Linked DNA regions of Rattus norvegicus. Each later gene encodes a partner of the first gene's protein in a complex. Links are inferred from orthologs where the notes say so. Each region holds a gene or a part of one and is shown in the gene's direction. Other genes may lie near its edges. The genes, in order: Myo6, Clta, Gipc1, Gipc2 and Tom1.

Evidence for each region.
Region 2: the proteins of Myo6 (region 1) and Clta are in contact, whole or in part, in an NMR structure (PDB 6E5N), measured with the Homo sapiens proteins. The link is inferred for Rattus norvegicus from reciprocal best matches to the Homo sapiens genes MYO6 and CLTA. Residues at the interface, in NP_001355794.1 of Homo sapiens: Met1053, Thr1054, Pro1055, Met1058, Ala1059, Met1062, Ser1087, Trp1089, Lys1090, Tyr1091, Glu1113, Arg1117, Leu1118, Val1120, Tyr1121, Trp1124, Asn1128; in NP_009027.1 of Homo sapiens: Glu47, Asn48, Glu50, Ala51, Phe52, Ile54, Leu55, Asp56, Gly57, Gly58, Ala59, Pro60, Gly61.
Region 3: the proteins of Myo6 (region 1) and Gipc1 are in contact, whole or in part, in a crystal structure (PDB 5V6E), measured with the Mus musculus proteins. The link is inferred for Rattus norvegicus from reciprocal best matches to the Homo sapiens genes MYO6 and GIPC1. Residues at the interface, in NP_001034635.2 of Mus musculus: Ser1055, Lys1056, Trp1057, Lys1058, Tyr1059, Ala1060, Arg1084, Arg1085, Leu1086, Val1088, Tyr1089, Trp1092, Lys1093, Asn1096; in NP_061241.1 of Mus musculus: Glu273, Ser274, Tyr275, Met276, Gly277, Ile278, Arg279, Asp280, Glu282, Leu283, Thr286, Asp310, Phe311, Ala312, Pro314, Glu316.
Region 4: the proteins of Myo6 (region 1) and Gipc2 are in contact, whole or in part, in a crystal structure (PDB 5V6H), measured with the Mus musculus proteins. The link is inferred for Rattus norvegicus from reciprocal best matches to the Homo sapiens genes MYO6 and GIPC2. Residues at the interface, in NP_001034635.2 of Mus musculus: Ser1055, Lys1056, Trp1057, Lys1058, Tyr1059, Arg1084, Arg1085, Leu1086, Val1088, Tyr1089, Trp1092, Lys1093, Asn1096; in NP_058563.1 of Mus musculus: Glu255, Leu256, Tyr257, Met258, Gly259, Ile260, Asp262, Asp264, Leu265, Thr268, Thr289, Leu290, Asp292, Phe293, Ala294, Pro296.
Region 5: the proteins of Myo6 (region 1) and Tom1 are in contact, whole or in part, in a crystal structure (PDB 6J56), measured with the Homo sapiens proteins. The link is inferred for Rattus norvegicus from reciprocal best matches to the Homo sapiens genes MYO6 and TOM1. Residues at the interface, in NP_001355794.1 of Homo sapiens: Ile1182, Phe1184, Trp1202, Gln1214, Glu1216, His1218, Asp1220, Lys1221, Pro1222, Ile1224, Leu1226, Glu1234, Met1235, Cys1236, Leu1238, Glu1242, Thr1243, Gly1244, Leu1245, Arg1247; in NP_005479.1 of Homo sapiens: Ser440, Glu441, Phe443, Phe446, Leu447, Arg450, Ala451, Ala453, Ala454, Asp455, Leu457, Pro458, Asn459, Leu460, Ser461.

What each region holds. Positions count from the first base shown.
Region 1 is NC_086026.1:89,966,215-89,970,204, forward strand, and holds the start of Myo6 (myosin VI), read left to right. Parts: upstream 1-1,182; 5' UTR 1,183-1,366; intron 1,367-3,990. UniProt on the Homo sapiens protein: Myosins are actin-based motor molecules with ATPase activity. Unconventional myosins serve in intracellular movements. Myosin 6 is a reverse-direction motor protein that moves towards the minus-end of actin filaments.
Region 2 is NC_086023.1:63,047,710-63,051,219, forward strand, and holds part of Clta (clathrin light chain A), read left to right. Parts: intron 1-485; coding exon 486-603; intron 604-3,510. UniProt on the Homo sapiens protein: Clathrin is the major protein of the polyhedral coat of coated pits and vesicles.
Region 3 is NC_086037.1:41,381,142-41,385,375, reverse strand, and holds the start of Gipc1 (PDZ domain-containing protein GIPC1), read left to right. Parts: upstream 1-1,433; 5' UTR 1,434-1,471; coding exon 1,472-1,759; intron 1,760-2,450; coding exon 2,451-2,636; intron 2,637-2,730; coding exon 2,731-2,911; intron 2,912-3,548; coding exon 3,549-3,661; intron 3,662-4,234. UniProt on the Homo sapiens protein: May be involved in G protein-linked signaling.
Region 4 is NC_086020.1:243,767,396-243,771,573, reverse strand, and holds the start of Gipc2 (PDZ domain-containing protein GIPC2), read left to right. Parts: upstream 1-1,374; 5' UTR 1,375-1,392; coding exon 1,393-1,632; intron 1,633-4,178.
Region 5 is NC_086037.1:13,410,087-13,414,046, forward strand, and holds the start of Tom1 (target of Myb1 membrane trafficking protein), read left to right. Parts: upstream 1-1,157; 5' UTR 1,158-1,228; coding exon 1,229-1,280; exon of another isoform or gene 1,281-3,960.

The sequences.
Region 1 (3,990 bases):
AGTGGGGTCAGAGTACAATTTGAGGAGTTGGCTCTCTCCTTGAACCATGCTCGGCTTCAGGATGGACTGTAAGAGCCCTCACTGGCTGATCTATCTTGCCAGCCCCTTATTTTGTTTTAGTATTAACCTCTTTCCTTGTAAAGGAGATGTTTGTTCTCAAATTTGCATAGGAATGTAATATTTAATTTAAAATGATGACTCATATATGACCTTATAAAGACAATAAAATTAAACAACCAGAAAGATAAAGCGGGGGCAGTTGGCTCAGTTCTATAAAACCAACCCACAAGGATTATCATTACTTCGAGGCTAAGGCAGGCTACACGACGAGTTCCAGGATAGCATGGCTACACAGAAGAGACTCTCAAGAGTCCAAATAAACAATAATAAAGGGGGCGGGGTGGAAATAAGGGGCCATAAGAAGTAAATACGAGCTCAGCATGGGAGGCCAGACAGGGAAGCAAAACTTTTCTTCGGTGGCCCAGTCTTCCAAGGGCTGAACAGGAAGTTGACGCAGGCAGGTGGGAAGCACCAGCTTGGATGGGCCGCTGTGCCACCCTTAAACCCCGCAAGGGAATTCTTCCGCAATTCGCCCGTCCCACTCTCAACTTTTCTTAACTGACTCTTTGCTGTGGACCCTCGCTGCGACATTGGAAGCAACTATCACTGCGAAGAAGGGAACTTCGTGAGGGGTCACCGGCAGCTAGCTGCTTGCAGAGATGCCGGGATGCGGTCAGAGCCTCGGTTCTCTGCTCCTATCCAACTCTTGAGGTCCCGCCTTTATCTTGCCTCACGCCATTAGGCCACGCCCCTACCCAGCACTCCTTCGACGCCCTCCCATCCCCATCCCACGCGCGTCCTGAGGTCCCGCCTCTCTCAACTCTAGCTCTTTGGTCTCTCCTCCCTAGCCGCCCCGGAGCTCGTTGCCTTGAGGCCAGGTCCCTCCACTCCTTCATTCCCGAGACCCAACGAATTGCGAGTCCGACCCTCCTGGCTGCCTAGGACCCGCCCCTCTCAGGCCTCTTGCCCTAAAGCCCCTCCCCTTAGATTATCCCCGCCCCCTGCCAACGCAGACCCGCCCTTTCTCCAGTCGCCCCGCCCCGCTCCCACAAAGTCCCGCCTCCGGCCCCCGCCTCCGCCCCCTGGGCGCTCCGTCGCAGTGACGTGCGCGCCTGGCTGGGCACTCCGCTGGGCTCTCTGGCCGGCGGGTGGAGACCGATCCGGTATCTGTCCCAGCAGGAAGCGTATCCCGGCCGCCGTCGTCTCCGGTGCTCGCTCTCGGCCGCGGCGTCGCGCTCGCCCTTCGCGCCCGCAGTCCGGCAGCCTCTCCACGGCCGCGACCCCTCGCGCACCTGCCTCGCTCGGGGTGAGTGTGGACTCCTGCCCGCCTGCCTGTCCTCACCGCCTTGGCCTCTTCTCTGCCCGGCGCGGACCGGAGCTCTGGCTTCCCCTTCCCCGGCCGGCGGGGCTCCTGTCACCTGACGAGTCCCACCGGACACTGAGAGATGGTTTTCTCCTTTGGAAACAGTGAAAATTCTACATAGACTAGTTTGTTGTCAGAAGTGAAGATCAAATGATACCATTAATAATTTAGCTGTGTCGAAGACCATGGTAGCATTCTACAAAGCTGGAATTTTAGTCTCTAAGCGGTCTAGGATCTTGAGTATGAGTTTTACGGACGTGTTGCTGAAAATAACTTCGTTATTTAATTCCAAAACGTCTTAAACTAATTAAAACGTTCTAGCTGTGAATTGTATTTTTTAAATAGGAAATAAAATGATAAGGCCACTCTTAGATAATCTGTCAGGAACTTTTACACAGAGATACATTTTATCTGACATAAAGTATGCAGAGCAGGGCTGTTTAAATCCTAATGTGCAGATACTATTGGAGCGCTACATAGTTGCTGCTCTGATTTCATACGTGTTGAATAAGACTTTAGTTTGCTCCCGTGGTACAGTTGCACGATGTTCGAATATAGTCCGCTTGAGGCTTTTAACAGCCCTTGAGGCTCAGCAGCAACACCATAAAATCTGAGTCTTGAGCTGGGTGGTCATGGTCCAAAGGTTGGCCGCGGAACAGCAGCATTTCTGTACAGATTAACTCAACTTCAAGACATCCTGGCTTGTAGTTTTCCAACTGGGAAATGTTTAGTGAAAAAAAAAAATTACCTTAGTGCCCTCTAGCATTAATTTTAGAAATAGCCACAGATACTCCAAGGGGGGCAGAGGAAGAGCCAGGAACAATGAAGTTCTTCAGAACAGCTCACTGACTTTTAAATGTCCACTCATTTTCTGTGTTTGCAGTTGCACAGGAGTAAACATGCACAGTGGTAAATAGGAATCATTTTAGTCTGATGTTCATCTGCCCGTAGTGTTTTTATTTTTTGTGTGTGGTCTGTTGCCTGTTTTTCTCTTCCTTTCAAGTTTTGCATTTGTTTTCAAACGTTACTTGTAAAAGGCAGGGGCAGACTACTATCATTAAGAAAAGAGTATTGTGATTAAATATACAGTTAAAAAGCCACGTAGTGTAGATTTTACATATGATCTTTAGTACTTAGCTAGACACATGAGCAAGAAAAAGTGAACAACTATGATTTTTTTTAATAGAAACTACAACAGAGTATTAAAAACAAAAATGCAAATTATACTCCATGGGGCTTATCTGAAAGGGATTTTCCCCTGTTTACACGATCAAGTTTTAAAATAACAGTGGCCAGGAAATCAGAGAGAAGCTGAAGGCTCCTCTCTCATCCTGTTGTGACTTTGCCTGGAGTCTGTGGTGGATCATTTATTGTTTAGACAACTGGTCTGTATCTGGGTTTTGAAAGGCCTTTAGATGGTTTTAAAGATTTCCACCATGTAAGGTCTGAATAAATACATAAGAACTCCACATTAAAAAAAATTCTCTAGTTTTTAACTTTCTCTTGGAACTCAAAACTCCTCTTAGCATACAGGATTGGGAGTGTAATTCAGCAAGTTCCTTGCCTTGTGTGTGTGTGAGGCCCTGGGAACTGGAGTTTTCATTTCCTGTATTAAACATCTTATTTAAACATAAAAGTTTGAAGAACACATTGCAATTTAAATAAATCTCACACAATAGAACAGTGATTCCCAAAAAGAGATACTTTGTTAACAGTTTACGAACTGGTGATTTAGTAACAGTGTGACACACACAAAAAACCTTAAGGTTTGATTTACAAAATAAATTTCCAGGTTGGTGGTCTTTTCTTTTACAGAGGAGAAAATGGAGGTTCAGAGAATTAATACTTGCATGTAGCTTTGGAGGGGCAAAGTCCAGACTCAGTACACACGAGAGCCTTCTGACAGCAGAGCCTCTCACTCCCTTCACCAGAAGCTGTCTTGATTTCCGTTTGTTTGGTGAACTATTGAGAACCCTTTGTAGAACTGGTCTGGAGAGTAGAGGTCGGTATCCTGAATAAACTGTGATAAGGCCATGCATAGAGTCTAGAACTAATTGAGAATTCTGTCTTCTTTCTCAAGGCCTTGAACAGTGAGCCAATGCTGCGGCATCATTTCTGGTGTGGTTCCAGCATGTATTAAGTATTATGTGCTTTTCATTTTGATGGGTTTATAGGAATTAACACTGCAATCTAATCCTGCACTGATTTCATTGTAGCTGAGCTACAATGTGTTACCGTTTAGGATGGAACTTCAGTTTTTGTCCTTCAAATGAGCTAGCTTGTTGCTCTACACAACCTAGCTGTCTCTTAAATGTTATTCAGTTAAATGGAACCTTAGGAGGGAAACATGCTTCAAGATTAAGATAGCCAGGCCTGGGAGATGCTCAGCGGGTAAAAGCACTTGTCTGGAACTCTGATGACCTTAGTCGGATCCCTGGGTCTTATAAGAAACAATTTCTGTGAATTGTCCTCTGACTACCACACATATACCATGGCACATAGCCATGAACAGATAGTTGTAATTTAAGAAATAGAAAAAAATAATAATAAAGATTAAGACATCTTCC
Region 2 (3,510 bases), on another chromosome or scaffold:
TCATAGTCACCCCCATTTTTTGATCCTTCCCTGATTTGACTACAGTTGCTATACTTTTGAATTCTTTCCTAAAGTTTACCGTCTGGCTAGATGTTATTCAGTGACTGTTCCCCTGTGTGGTAAAATGGCTTCTGAAGTCTTAGGCTCTAGGCTTGGCTTTGCTCTGTGCTTATTAGCTTTGAAGGCAGCACATAATCTCCGAATATGTCCCTTACCCATCCAGCCTCAACTCTCCTGTCACCCACTTGTGTCCCGCTTTTCAACAGATAGCAACTAGTCTGCCTCCCTCCTGAGAGCGCAAGGACCCAGCTCAGTAATGTTGCGATGCAGGAGGCTCTCTGGTGGCTTGTAGGGTTCTCTTACTGCTTTAAGTAGTCCTTTAACAGTTACAAGCCCGCCTTCTATGTGACCTGACGTTCTACTCTTGTGAAAAACATTTCAGAAAGACTTGGGGGCACTGATGGATATAATTGTTTTGTGTTAAGGAGAGCAATGGTCCAACAGACAGTTACGCAGCCATTTCAGAAGTGGATCGGTTGCAGTCAGAGCCTGAAAGTATCCGTAAGTGGAGAGAAGAGCAGACAGAGCGCCTGGAAGCCCTCGGTAAGGAATTCCGCTTTGCTTTCAGGTGTCTGCTTACAGTAGAGTAGTTGACGAGAACTGTACTCTGATCCCCTTTAAGCTTGCATCGGCCATAGTGTCTCTGTTCAGTGTTGAGGAAGTTGTATTTCTCAGCCTAAAGGTCACAGGCCACTGGCAAGGATAGGCTTCATCAGCGGCTACTGCATGAAGAACTCGGGAGTGTAGGGAGGCGTCTTCTCCAGGAAGTGAAAGGCTCAGTTCAAGATTGCACCTTGCTGACTGGGTGCCTGGTTCCCGTCTTTCACTGTCATCATCTGAGGGAGTCAGTGATGCTGACTACAGCTGAGTGCTGTTGACAAGCATATGGGAACTTGAGGTACTGCTCATGTGAGCGACACTGACGGTTCACTTCTCATTTGAAAGATGGATCTACTGTTAGGAAATGTGTCCGTACCTTCCCATGCTGTGACAACATAGTGGACAGAATCAACTGAAGGAAGAAGGTTCAATTTGGCTCACAGTTTCAGACATAGCTGCTGGCTCTATTGCTTTCAGGTCTGGGAATAGAGAGACTTCCAGGCAGAACAGACAAAGGGCATCTGTTCGCCTCATAGCAGATAGGAAGCAGGGAAGTAAGGATGTCATACAGTTCAGAGGGACTCTCCACAGCCACCACTTCACCCAGCCTTTACCTCCCCTGTTACCACATCTCCCAGTGGTCCATTCAGTCATGGATCAGCCCATGGATTAGGTCGAGTCTCTTACAGTGCAGTCACTTCCAACAGATAGCACCATGAGCCTTTTTTTTAAAGTCCATAATTGAATTTGTGTGTGTGAATGTTGTAGCAGTGTCTTAGGGTTTCACTGCTGTGAACAGACACCATGACCAAGGCAACTCTTATAAGGAATTTAGTTGGGTCTGGCTTACAGGTTCAGAGGTTCAGTCCATTATCATCAAGGCGGGAGCATGGCAGTGTCCAGGCAGGCCTGGTGCAGGAGGAGCTGAGTTCTACATCTTCACCCAAAGGAAGCCAGGAACAGACTCAACATCCTAGGAGAAGCTAGGAGGAGGGTCTCCAAGCCCAGCCCCACAGTGACACACTTCCTCCAACAAGGCCACACCTTCTAATAGTGCAGCTCCCTGGGCCAAGCACATTCAAACCGTCACAAGCAGCATGTCTGTCTGTGTAGTGTGTCTGGTACCTGCAGAGGTCAGAAGAGGTTGTTGGATCCCCTGCACCTGGAGTTACAGATGGTTGTGACCCATAATGTGGATGCTGGTCTTCTGCAAATCAACAAGTGCTCTAAATTCCAGAATCTTCTCTCAGGCTGTCTACATGAGTCTTTTTAGGGGATCCTATCATTTCCAAATCATAACATGGACTTTTTTTCTTTACCTTATTATCCCTGTAAGGTAAGGGATCTTTTTGCATTTTAAAAAAGTATTTATTTTTTATGTGCATTGGTGGTTGTGACTGCATGTATGTCTCTGTGAGGGTGTTGGATGCCCTGGAACAGGAGTTTCAGATGATTGTAAGCCACCATGCGGGTGTTGGGAATTGAACCCAGGACCTCTGGAAGAGCAGCCAGTGCTCTTCCCTGCTGAGCCATCCCTCCGCCCCCCCCCCTTTTCATTTTTATGAATAAAGGTATTGAGGATCATAAGTAGATTACATTTGAAGCACACAGCTAAGGAGTGTGGTAAAAACAAGTTTGGGTTTGTCTGCTCTGCTGAGGCTCCACATTTACCCCACGAGCCACGTGGCTTTCTACGTGCATTTTGTGTACAGGGCCATCTAACTGGGCAGGCCAAGCCCTACCGTGGCATCAGCTTCTTGTTTCTCTGGCTGTCCTGGAACTTGATACTTCGATCAGACTGGCCTCAAATTTACAGAGAACCATCTGCCTCTGCTTTCCAGGTGCTGGGACTAAAGGTATATGATATCATGCCTAGCCCTAACAAAAATAATTATAATGATTGTTAGAATACATAGAAAGAATATAGTCCAATCAAAACACTTAAAAATTGTAAACATGTCAAGGTTCTATTTTGAGACCCAGGATTGGACTCAGGCCATCAGGCTTCTACCCCAGAACCATCTTGCCAGCCACAAAAGGGGTGTGATTGGGAAGTGATTCCAGTTTGCAGTTAGGTCAGGTAGTAGATTTTTATTTCCTTGAAGCTCACGTGGCCTCCTCAACTTCTGGAGTCTGATGGCAGAGTAGTTTATCCTCTGCCCTGTGTGTGCCATGGGCAGGACTGTCGGCAGTTCTCTGCCGGTATGTCAGAGGCTTTCGGGGGAGCTCATAGTATACAGTCTTGTGTGAGTGCCAGGCAACTTCCGGTGAGTTAAACAACAAAGAAGAGAGTCTGTAATAGCAGGACGCCTGGAGATGGCTCTAGACACAGCCTGGCCCAGGAGGTTAGTACGTGTCTGGCAAAGGGCAGATGCCCAGGAATACTCTGCTTCTTCAGGCCTTCCTTACTTGATGCCACCCTGCTTTCACTCTCCTTCTCCAAGGTGCTAATTACAGGTTGGGCTCTTACTCTGTGCTTGGAGACCTCTCTGGATTACTTGATGGTTATATAATCATGTGATTATTTCCAGGTTTGTGTACTGAAGTGAGTCAAGTGTGAGCTTGAGAGCAGACTGGGTCTTTGCTCGCCCCTTATCCATGGCAAGCTTACTCAGCTTTTTGAGGGCTTTTTCCTCCCTTACTGCTGAAAAGGAACCTAAAATTTATCTTCTTGGGAGTATTGTAAAGATTGAGGTCCATGAGAGGATGTCCCCAAGACCATGTTTAACTGTTAGCAATTCACATGTGCTGCTAGCAGTGATCATGCTTCCCTGCCTTTGTGACAGGTGGTCTTCAACCAACATCGTGCAAAACTACATTTAATCTAAAACTTGACTTTGGTGGCTAAGA
Region 3 (4,234 bases), on another chromosome or scaffold:
GTTTGTGTGTAAGTACACATAGCCCAGTGCACATGTAAAGGTCAGACGACAGCTTGCAAGAGTGCGCACTCTCCCTTCATTGGGCCCAGGTGATTAAACTCAGGCCTGCAGGGGTGATGGCCATCTTGCCAGCCCTCCACCTTGCGTTTTGAGACAGGATTTCTCACTGGCCTGAGCTCACTAGGTAGGCTAGGTGGGCTTTGAGCCTTGGGGGTCCTTCTCTCTCCAGCTCTGTAAGATGCTCTTACAAGGGCATCTTTCCTCATGGTTTTTTGTTTGTTTGTTTGTTTGTTTTTTTCTTTTACATAAACCAGACCCAAACTTGGGTTTTGCACAGAGCATTAATGACTGCAACTGATAGAAAATGAAAAGACACTGTGTCTGGTGGTTTCCATCTGCTCCAACACTGCAAGATGAACAGAGGTAGAGTTGGTGAGTTCTAGGCCAGCCTGGACGACAGAGTGAGAGCCTTCTCAGAGAAATGGAAAGTAAAGGGCCATCCAGCATTTTATCTTCCCTTCAGTTGTCTGCTCCAGTGGGTGTGGTCAGGGCAGGATGCACCAACGGCCTCATGCCTCATCCAGAAGGAGAATTGAACGAGGTCACAGAGCAGCGGGTGTGGGGTTGTAATGGGTATCTCTGTGGGGATTATTACTGTGCAGTGCGAGGCTTCATTCTGATGCTGGGATGAGACCGGGTCCTCATTAGCACGTGCTCCACCACTGAGCTGCACCCCAGCATCGGAGCTATCTGGAGTCACCTCTCTTCGTTCACATCAGCTCTGGGTGCCCAGATTGAATCCACTGTATACAGAAAATACTTGGGTGAGGCAGATGTCCTGCTATTTCCCTGTAATCCCATCCACTCTGCAGTCTGAAGCAGGAGGATTGCAAGTTCAAGGACAGCTGAGCAACTGAGAGATAACTGCCTCACACTAAAAAGTAAGAGGCAGTCTAGACTTGTAGCTTGGGTCCACATGCACAAGGCCAAAATGGCCGATTCGGAGAGAGCCTTGTACCTATGCTGACCATGGACAGAATCTTGTGTTGTTACTCTTCAGACAATACAGCGGAAGAAGAGTTTGCATAGCTTTAAATGTGTACAGCAGATTCCACTGTACGGGAGGAGCTGCAGCTCTGTGGACAAGCGCCAGCCAAGCAGGGGCGATGAAAGCCTCAGCAGAACGCAAACGCAACACAACGTTATATAGGCCGCAATGTGCTGGAGGTGTCCTGGCTCCCTGTGCTTGGGAGCCTGAGTCACGTGATCAGACACGGTGGGGTTCGGTGGTGGAGCACTTGACTAGCACCAGGCCCCTGGGTTAAGAAACATTGCTTCGCAAAATAGAACCATGTTGGTTGATGTCGATACCATGTGGTGGTGATGGATGGCACCCAAGGCTGGTACTCAGAGAGTGAAGCCCGATTCCCTTTCGCAGGTCTCCCGGCCAAGTCCCCACTTCTGGCTGCTCATGCCACTGGGACTGGGGCGAAGGAAAAAAGCACCACCTCTGGTGGAAAATGAGGAGGCGGAGCCAAGCCGGAGTGGGCTGGGCGTCGGGGAGCCCGGGCCCCTGGGTGGAAGTGGAGCAGGGGAATCCCAGATGGGTTTGCCCCCACCTCCTGCTTCCCTCCGGCCTCGCCTCGTGTTCCATACCCAGCTGGCCCACGGCAGCCCCACGGGCCGCATCGAGGGCTTCACTAATGTCAAGGAGCTGTACGGCAAGATCGCTGAGGCCTTCCGACTACCGGCTGCTGAGGTACCAGTGGGACCACGGTCCCTTAAGAGCAAGCCACAGGCCTGGGCATGTATTCCTGTGAGCTGGGGCTCGTGTTCCTTGCTGGCCAGCAGCCCCTGAACCTAGGAGGCGTGGCTACAGGAGGATACTGAGTTCCTATGAGGCCTTGAGAGACTTGTACCCTAGTAGGTATGGGGGGGGTTTCCCAACGGGCCTTACGAGGCTCGTAATCTAGTAAATTGTGGGTCTGCAGATACTGATTTCCCATCAGGTCTGAAGTAGCCTGTGTCCTGGAGGATGACAGCCACAGGTGGCAGCTGGGTTTCCAAGGCATTGGGAAGCTTGTGCCCCAAATACTGTGGGACCTCAAGAGGGGGAGGGAGGGTGTTAGGAGCAGCTTCTATTTCTCCAGGGTGCCCTGGAGGCATGACTCCAAGCTAGAAGCTGAGAAGCCACTGGGAGGGCAACAGTGGGACTGAGATTCAAGTGGAGATGGGTAGGAAGGCTGGGTGGGAGTCTAGACCCCCTTCACCCCTCAGTAAGTATCGAGTGATCTCTGTATGTCAAGCTAGCTCTTGAGCTTTTACCAGGACAGAAATCCTGCTCATAGCATTTGATGTGCCAGTGGACCTCTCCTTGGCTTTGGGTGTTACCAGTCCCTGGGATAGGGGACCCAGGGAGGAAGGATGAGCATCTTGCCCCACCTCTGCAGGTGATGTTCTGTACCCTCAACACCCATAAAGTGGATATGGACAAGCTGCTGGGGGGCCAGATCGGGCTGGAGGACTTCATCTTTGCCCATGTCAAGGGGCAGCGCAAAGAGGTGGAAGTATTCAAGTCTGAGGATGCTCTGGGGCTCACCATCACCGACAACGGGGCCGGCTATGCCTTCATTAAGGTGCCCGGGTGGGTGGCACACCCTTAGTCAGTGGCCAGGGTCTTTAATGGGACCTAGAGTGGAGCTTCCAGGGTTGATGCCTGCCCCTCCACAGCGCATCAAGGAAGGCAGTGTGATTGACCACATCCAGCTCATCAGCGTGGGTGACATGATTGAAGCCATCAACGGGCAGAGCCTGCTGGGCTGTCGGCATTATGAGGTTGCCAGGCTCCTCAAAGAGCTGCCCCGAGGCCGCACCTTCACCCTCAAACTCACCGAACCTCGGAAGGCGTTTGGTGAGCCATTCTTGCAACCTGGACCACCCACCGGGCTGACCTTGAGCTCTTAAGAAATACAGATTGTAGTCCTGGGAACCACCAGCAGGTGGCACTCAAGCCTGCAGTGCAGAGTGGGGGCAGCCCCACCCTACCCTAGAACTGAGTGCTGGCTGACAGCCCAGCCAGAAGGAAGTCGCCCCCACACCCGACTTCCAGGAGCCATTAGCCCAGCCGAGTGCCCCCAACCCTGGCCAGCCCCCTCAGCCTGGAGAAGTGAGGCTTGGCTGCCTTGTATGGCTCCTGTGCCCGGCGCCCCCCCCCCCCCCCCGTTTCTACCTGGCTTCACTAACTCTCAGGAATGGGCCTGAGGCACCCCTGATGTGGGTAGAAAGGGCTTATCTGAGACTCAGCAGTTACACTCACCCTTCTCAACCCTCACTCCTTCAAATAGAAGCTACCTTCCATTCTCTCTCCAGCTGCTTTTATGTCTGGCCCCTAGCTGCCCCTCACCATCCATGCAAAGTCCTGCCTTGCTGGAACCCAGTCCCTACCCAAGGAGCCTGCAGAACTTTGAAGGTGGTGGGAGGTGGTTGTGTGAAGCCTGCGTACTGTGTTACCGTGGGCTGATTTTCCCCACTACCTTTGCCTTCTACAGATATGATCAGCCAGCGTTCATCAGGTGGTCACCCTGGCTCAGGCCCACAACTGGGCACTGGCCGAGGGACCCTCCGGCTCCGATCCCGGGGCCCTGCCACAGTGGAGGATCTGGTGAGTGAGCCCCCCGGGCCGGTGACACCATTCTAATTATGTGAAAGGCTCAGGACACCTCTCTCTGCCTAAGCCTACTCTTACCAGCTCTGGGACCTACGGTGGTCCATCGGGCAGCCTGGGGTCTCCTCCCTGTCCAGTAGGTTCAGTGACTTCTTGTCAGAGCAGACATTAGCGATGTAAACAAAAAGGGCTGCCAGCACGGAATTTCTGGCAGGAGGATTTCACATTCGCTCAAACCGTAAGACCTTGTCACCAGGTTCTTATATGAAAATAGATGAAAGGCAGCCCAGTGTAGATACGTACCCATAATCCTCTCCAGGCTACTGGATAGGAGTTAAGTGTTCAAAGCCAGTTTGGGCAACTTAGAATATGTCTGGGTATGAGAATGGTAATTTCTGGATGTTGGGACTGAAGAGATGGGCTTAGCAGTTTATAGGAGGTGTGGCTCTTGCAGACCACACAGGTCAGTTCCAAGTGCCCATGACGGGTGGCCATCTCTTAACTCCAGTCCAGAGGTCCAGTGTTCTCTTCTGACCTCCACAGACACCAGGCAGACACATAGGACACACA
Region 4 (4,178 bases), on another chromosome or scaffold:
CATATATACACACATGCATGCACATATATACTACATGTACATACACACATATATACACACTACATGAATGTACATATATACTCATGTAATGTACATACATATACACACATGCATGCATACACACACACACACACACACACACACACACACACACACACTACCCCCGCCACCTTTTCTTAAAGAGAGCCTAGAGTGGAGAAATTAGATGGTTTCAGATGAAAGATTGCTTCAGAGCTTATAGAAGTGAGGTGGCTAGAGTTTCTGATGCGGCATGGGGAACAGAGGGCACACACATCTCAGTGAATGTCTTCAGCTCTTTGAAGAACAGGACAGAGTTTCTCTTAGGATGTGAAACAATGGACTGAGGAGTGTTGAAAACCTAGGGGAGAAAGTGGGCCTCCCAAAAGGAGCCTGTCACAGAGAGGTACTGCGAGAATGGCTGAGGTACTTGACTTGACACTTGCAGAGGGAGAGAGCTCATTGCAGAGAGGGCAAGTTCGAGGAAGGATGGCTTCTACATAGGTTCCTATGGACAAAGTCTCTGGCTGGGGTTACCCAAATGTGGCTGAATGCTGCCTCTACTACAATGGTTTTTAGGTTAGCACACAAAGTTATGAGTTTGGTTATGGCATTTTCACACGTACAGGTCACTGTCGTCTGTTTCTGTGTCTCCTCCCCCACTGTTCTCCCTGGACCACCTTCCCCTGTCTACTTTCCTGTCTTATGGATTCTGTAACCTCCCACAGTTCCCTTTCTTTTTTTTGCATGTTCCCCGACACATGTAATCTACACATGAGAAGAAAAACAGGCAACAGTCTTCTTTTTGAGCCCGGCCTACTCTGTTTAACATAGTAATGTCCTCTTTCCATCTTTTCATTTCCCTGCAGATATTATAGTTGAGGGCCTTTCATCGTGGGTGTGTGTGAAGTGGGCTCACTCTGTAGGCCAGGCGAGTCTTCTAATCCTTGCAAGCATCCTGTCCCAGCCTTAACAGTGCTGGAATCACTGGCCTCAACCACCACACCCAGTTGAGCGCCCAGATTGTGAAAGGGAAAGCAAGGCTGACGTGAGAGACCTTTGTTAGCATCCCGGTCCCTTCATGGAAATCAATTCCTTTCACTCAGAGGAGGCTTGGGTTGACCCGGTAAGCTTGAGTCTAGAAGGGAGCTGACCCATTGTGCACAGCTTTCCTTCTGCCTGAGCAGGTAGCAGCCCGGCTCAGGTGCCCTGTCCTTCACAGGGAGGGGACCTGAAACCCGCGCCGCTAGGCGGAAGCGCTGCTGCCATTGGCCAAGCAGCCACTGTCACCTGCGCGGAGCCAGGCCCCCGAGCGCAAAGTCCGCTGTCCGAGGCCAGGGAGAGCCTGGTGGTCCACACCCTCGGATCTGCAAGATGCCGCTTGGGCTGCGTGGGAAGAAGAAGGCTGCCAAGTCCAAGGAGACCGCGAGGCTGGTGGAGGGCGAGAGGTCCGGTGGCAGCCAGGGTGTCCCCGGACCCCCAGCTCCGGCACGGAGGCTGGTGTTCCACGCACAGCTGGCGCACGGCAGCGCCACGGGCCGAGTGGAGGACTTCTCCAGCATCAGCGAGCTCTACGCCAAGATCGCAGGGGTGTTTGAGATCGCGCCGTCCGAGGTAAGCGCAGGGGGCACAGTCTGTTCGCCACCCAAGCCTGCGGCGCAGCACTTCCCGAGCCTCAAGTAGCCTGCTGGTGCTGGGTGGAGTCGGTCCCCAGAGCATCGGAGGGAAGAGTGTGTGGTGGTGGAAAGGCCAGTCCCGGGACCGGATGAAACTATCCGCTCAGATCCGGCTTGTGGGTCATTGGGGTCAAGGCGACTAGGCTTTCTTTTGTTAGGGAGTCTGCTGTAGACGTGCTCAGGTCTGGTCGTTCAGGATAGGATGTGCGCCAGCACCTTCCGGGACTCAGATCTGTTGCGACGAATGAATGCCTTCCACAGGACTTGGACTTTACTCTTAGGCTTTCTGTCAGAGAGCTGCATTGGGAGTCTAACCAGAGTTAAAGAGAAGGGGGAAAGTGTAAAGGGGAAGGACTTCCTGGTGGGTGCAACCTGAAGCCTACTTTGCTCACCCCTGGATGGCTCCAGGAAGAACTGCTTTGGTGATAATATATAAGAAATTTAAAACATGGGTTGTTATTCCAAGGGAAGGAACTCAGAAAATCATAGCAAACTATCTGACTAGCAAACGCAGCTTTCACGGAAGAGCTCAGCTACATTTTCCCAAGGTATCTTTGAAAAGAGACCAAGAAATGTAAGTAGATTGATAATATGATGCCTGAAACTGGAGTTGCCATAGGTCCTATCTTAGACGCATTAGTCTGTGAGGATTTTTGTGGGCCCTCGGCGCTTACACCGGTGTGAAGTAAATGTTTTAGAGCTGCAGTAAAAGCCGAAGACTCCGGAGTTCAAATCCCTGAACTCATCAGAAAAAACACACGGTGGTAACCCCAGCCTAGGGACAGGCTTGAACCAGCCTAGTCTACTCTGTATGTTTCAGGATTGTGAGAGAAGTTGTCTCAAACAAGCAAACAAACAAACACGGAGTCTAAGAAGCAATGTTCAGGACTCTGGCATTCCTACTCAGTGTCCCCCTGGCCTCTACAAGCAGTTGCACACATGAAAACGTTTTGTTCATTTTTGTGTGAGTGTGCGTGCTATTGCCAGGGCACACAAAATGTGCGTGTGTGCACACAAATGCATGGATATACGCACCGTCTCTTTTGGAGCTCAGGCTTTTGCCGTGGGCTTTCAGAACTGTAGATAGCAACTTCTTCTCAGAGCGGGCCTACGTACATCTGTTTTTTATTAATTTTTTGAGGGTTAAAAACATTGTCTTATGTGGGTGAGTGTTTTGTTTACACGTGTCTGTACAGACTCATCCCCTAGAAGTGGGATTACAGAGGGTGGTTAGCAGCCATGTGGGTGCTGGGAATCACACCAGAGCTGTCTGGAAGATCGGTCAGCACTCCTAACCATTGACCCATCTTTCCAACCCCAAGAAAGGAGTTTTAAAAGTGCTAGCCTTTGTTCTTTCAGGGTTCCCAGGCTCTAAGGACAAATCACAAGTCTTTTTGTGGATCATTTATTTTTAGTGTAGGATTGCCGTAACACGGTGTTTGTATAGGAGTGTTCAATTGAAGAGGAACTTTTAGAGTAACACTCGACTTTCACCGTCTCCAGGTGAGGTAGGTGGCAGGCTAACCAGATGTGGTTGACTGTGGAGCCACCAACATGCAGTAGCTGGGTAGCCTTGGCTAAGGTTGACTTCTGTCAGCATCAGCCACCTATCGGGCAGAGATAAAGGTTATCTCCCAACAAGGCTGTCCTTCAGACTGGAGGCGTCTGTATGTAAACCCAACAGGTTACACTGGATACGGTCAGGACTCTGAAAACTGTAATTAATACCACGGATATGGGCCAGGGAAACAAATGGCTGACCTGCAAAAGGCTGGACCTTGACCAAGGTCAGGTAGCTTGGTGGAAGAAAAGCAAGGCTGCTGTTTATACTCAAATTCTCTGGTTTCCAAGCTAGCAAGAGCCTTCGTGTAATACTGGGGAGCTTTAAACTCTCTTCTGTAACCGGGGACTGACTCCAGACTTAGTCTTTTTCATGGACAGCTTTCCTTATTGTGTGTGCATAAAGGATTCTGAGCTAAAGATACATGATTTTATCCAATATACTTAGCCCCTAAGAAGTGTTACTGTGTTCTTGCTTCGCACAGACGGAACCAGGGCTTTGAGGTTCAGATTCAAAATCATACATTGTTGCAGGATATTTGATCACACTGTGAACCCCAAGACTGTGTTTTAACTGAAAAAAAAAAACCTATTTCTAGCTGTGGTGGGGCTCAGCCTTAGCATACACTTTTAATCCCTCTGGCTGGAATACAGTCAGGCCCTGAGTACACTCCTTCAATCCCAAACAATGAAGGTAAAGTTAGTTTGTAGAAAGAAGCAGCCATGTTTGAAAGTGATACCTAATTGAGTGACAGACAAGGTGACAAATAAGAGAAAGATTTGACAGAATAGGATACGCCTACCTCTCTTCCCATAGGAAGAGAGAGGAAGGGGAAGCTACTTAAGAAGCAGTGCAGAGAATTAAATTCACATTTAGGACACGTGGTAAATGGCAGAGCCTCCGTGTAAGCCCCTTTTTCCCCT
Region 5 (3,960 bases), on another chromosome or scaffold:
AAAACACGAATAATAATTAAAGGCTGCATGTTGTAATGTACATACACCTTTAATTCCAACACCCCTGAGATCTGAGTTTGAAACCAGCCTTGGGAGACTGTGTCCAAAAAAACGGGATGCAGAGCATTGGCTTTTAATGTGACAAGGTCCTAGGATGAGCCCCAGCCCTGCCAAGAATGGAAGAGAGGAAGTGAGATGTCCCACGGTACTTGTTTAATCTCAAGAGATTAAATGTGAAAGAATCAATTCCTCGTAAGTTTCGATCTGACACATACAGGATTTTTAAAAATTACAAATTTAAAACATAATGCCTGGCACTGGAGAGGTGGCTCAGAGGATAAGAGCAATGACTGCTCTTCCAGAGGTCCTGAGTTCAATTTCCAGCAACCACCTGGTGGCTCACAACCATCTGTGATGGGCCAGTGCCCTCTTCTGGTGTGTCTGAAGACAGCAACAGTGCGTACTCATACATAAATAAATAAATCTAAAAAAAATTAAAAACATAATACAAAGATACAGCAAGGAAGAAGCAACCATCGCGGAATGCCTGTTGAGTGATTTTCATGTCATCTCAATACTCTGAAAGCATTACATTATGGATATTGGTCGTCCCACCACCACCTTTACAGATGAGGGGAACAGGTAAAGAAAAAGCACTTTTCTGGTTTCCCAAGAGCCAAGGTGGATGAGGTGGCTTACCAGGTAAAGGAACTTGCCACAGTATGTTCAGTTCATTCTCTGTCTCAAAGGAGCACAAACCCAGGTCCTTGCCTCCTCTTTGGCCACAAACGAGTGGCTCCTGGAGCAGGGAGACATCAAATAGAAATTTCGAGTCCGACTTGGACAGGAGGCTATCGTCCTTAGGGCTTGGTCCCCAAGACTAAAGGCTAAGATGCTAATATTTTCGTTATCTTGCGTAACCTGACCCAGGTCTTTCCTTGGCCAGAGACCCAGTTTCCGGATGTGAAGACTTCTAGGCTCCACTGCGGCGCACATAGAAGTTTCGGGGGCGTGGCTTAGGAGCCAGCTCTCCCAGGCCCCGCCCTGGTGTGGCGTCAGCCACTGCCGAGGGGCAGCCCGGTAGGGGGCGGGGCTCGTGGCTGCGCCCCAGAGCCCCCGCCTGCCGGCACCTCCCCGCGGGCCGGCCAGCGGGTCACGTGACGGGTCGGCGGCGCCGGCGGTTGCTGTCACCTGATTCTGGGAGCTGGTGGCAGTGGTAGCCGCGGCAATGGACTTTCTCCTGGGAAACCCGTTCAGTTCTCCCGTGGGACAGCGGATCGGTGAGTCCCGGGAGCCGCGTGCAGTCCCGCCCCTGTGTGCCGCTCTGGCCTCGACCCTGGGACCTGTCGGAGTCCACAGTCAGGGCTGGGAGGAGGGAGGCTAGGCTGCGAGGCTGGCGCGGCGCTCTGGGCTCCGCCTACCCTATGACTCCCACCTGATTGACAAGAGCACAGGCCAATCGGAATTCTTATATGGGGATTGATGCTTGATGTAACCAATAGGCAGGAGAAGGAGACAGTTCTGGGCGGATGTGGCTCAGCCAATGTGTGCGTGCTGGGGTCCAGAGTAGAGGGAGAAAGTTTGGGTTAAAGGGACTGCTGTGGTGAGAAGGCGTTGGGCCGCGCCACCGCTGGGCGCGCGCAGGCTTAGAGCCTCTCCCGGGCTGGCGGCGCCTGGGTCATTCGCCGCGTCACCCGCCGCTCACATTCCGAGACGCCGGGGTATCTAGGTTCGGCCGCGCCTCTGTCCCCATGGTCGGGAGACTCGGGTTTATGTGACGTCGCCTCCTTGATGGTCCTCGCCCATAGTTTAAGGATCATGGCATGGCCTTGCTGGACTTCTTTGATCATTAAATGCATTAATAAGCGCGAGGCATTGAGGATGTTTCCTGGCACATGGCTAACGCCTGTCATTGTCAACGAGGTACCGCCTACTGAAGCTGGAGCCCATGGGAAGATGCCGGCGCCCAGCATCTACTCTCGGGCGAAGGCCAGCTGGCGACATTTACCCAGGAATGGGTGGTCTGGGCGTGACACACATCCCCTTTATCTGACCGCATTGTGAAATTATTTTTGATGTTTTTTTTTCGCCGTTGGTCCAGCCTGGGAAGGCTGGATCTGAAAGCCAAGGCTTCCCCGAAGTCGTTAGTCCAGCTGTGTTGTAACCACCACTGCAGCTGTTAGTGGCTCTTTTGAGGTTCTCATCAGTTCTCTGCAGGGAACTCTGGCGCCTGGAGCCCAGGTGCTTCACAAAAACCCCACCATAAATCGTTGTTTGAGACCCGGAAAGAGAAGGCAGCCCTCTTCTCAGATGTCTTATGTAAAGACAAAGGCAAATTAGTCTGGCCTTCAAAGCCAGCCTGAAAGTCCAGAGACCTGGATAAGCTCATTTGGGTTTAAGATGCCGTTCAGTTCAAAGCTCAGCATCTCTTCCTGCCCTGAAAGTTTGCCTGCCTCGGGCAAAAAATACTCCTGGATAAGAGTGCTGCTACATCAGTACCTTGGAGCGCTGATTAAATCTCACTGCTGGACCCTCTCTGCCTTGGGGTTCATGTCAGAATAGGTTGGACCGATCCAAGACTCAGATGGGCAGGTGTAGGGTTCCCAGTCATGTTCTTTGCAGTTGGCTGGGAGAGCACACGTTTCGAAACCTCCCACCAGAAGCGGTGGCTCACATCTGTAATCCTACACCCAGGAGACTAAGACAGGAGGATTGCCACAAAGTCCCAGGCTAACTGGACTCTGAAATTCATTGCAGGGCAGCATAAGCTGCAGTGTAAGACCCTGTTTCAAACAAAACACCAGTCCATTCTGTCCCGTGGCCCTTCCCTTTACTGAGAGGAAGAGATCAAGTTCTACAGAAGGAAGGGGGTGAAGACTGAGGAACCCCCAAAATCCAGTGCAGTGCGATGAGATGGCAAAGCTGTAAAAGAGCCAGGGGTGGTGGAACAGCACTTAGGAGGCTGAAACAGGAAGATTTTGAGTTCAAGTCCAGCCTGGGCTACAGAGAGAGACCCTACCTTGAAGAACAACAGCAGTGTTCCATACTCTTCCGTGTGTCAAGATAGAAGCACTGGAGGTTGAGCCTGCGTTGGTTTTTTTGAGACAGGGTCTCTCAGTGTTGACCAGGTTGGTCAGGAGCTTCAGGCCTTAAGCAGTCCTCCCCCATCAGCTTCCAAGTGGCGAAGACCTGACTGGCTGTGATGATTGGTGGCCAGGTTTTAGCTGCTTGTATTCTTTATAGCCCAGGCCCCTCTTTGCTGCAGGAGTAAAGTGGTATCTTCTCAGGTCTGCTGACCTCCTGCCCTAAGAGTGGAGTGTTATAGGATTAACATCCTAGGGGATAGCAGTCGTTCAGTGGTGCTAATCAGGGCCCAGTGTCACTGGCCTCACAATTCACATACACCTTGACACTTGGCTGGTCTCACTGGAAATTTCTGCTGCTGTGAGGAGCTGGGCTCATGCCCGGAAGCACTGGGCACCACCTCCTCCCTGAGGCCGTGTCCCATCTCCTGACCCAATCTCTGCTCTTGTGTTCTGTCCTCAGTCTGCGTCCTGTAGGCACAAAACAGCTCTCACCTCAAGGGAAATCAGAGATACTTCATTCTATCCCCGGACCAAATATGAATTGCCATGACCCAAGAATACAGATTCGCATCACCCCAAATAACGTGGTCCAATGTGGAAATGGTTTCATGATATTTTTTGTAGTTGCAGAGAACAAAAGCAAGCCATAAACCAGACACTCAGGCTACAGCAAAGCATGAAAATCTAGGCTCCATGTCTCAGGTGCTAGCTGATGACATTACTAAGTTTGGGTTGGTAGACACTAGTTTTCTATTAACTTATTCCAAAAGGCGTTACCTGGTAGTCACAGAAATGTTAGGTCAGACACAAGATAAGCAATAAGTGGTTACTAAGGGTCTAAAGCAAGGTAATTTGTCTCAAGATCTGCAGCATT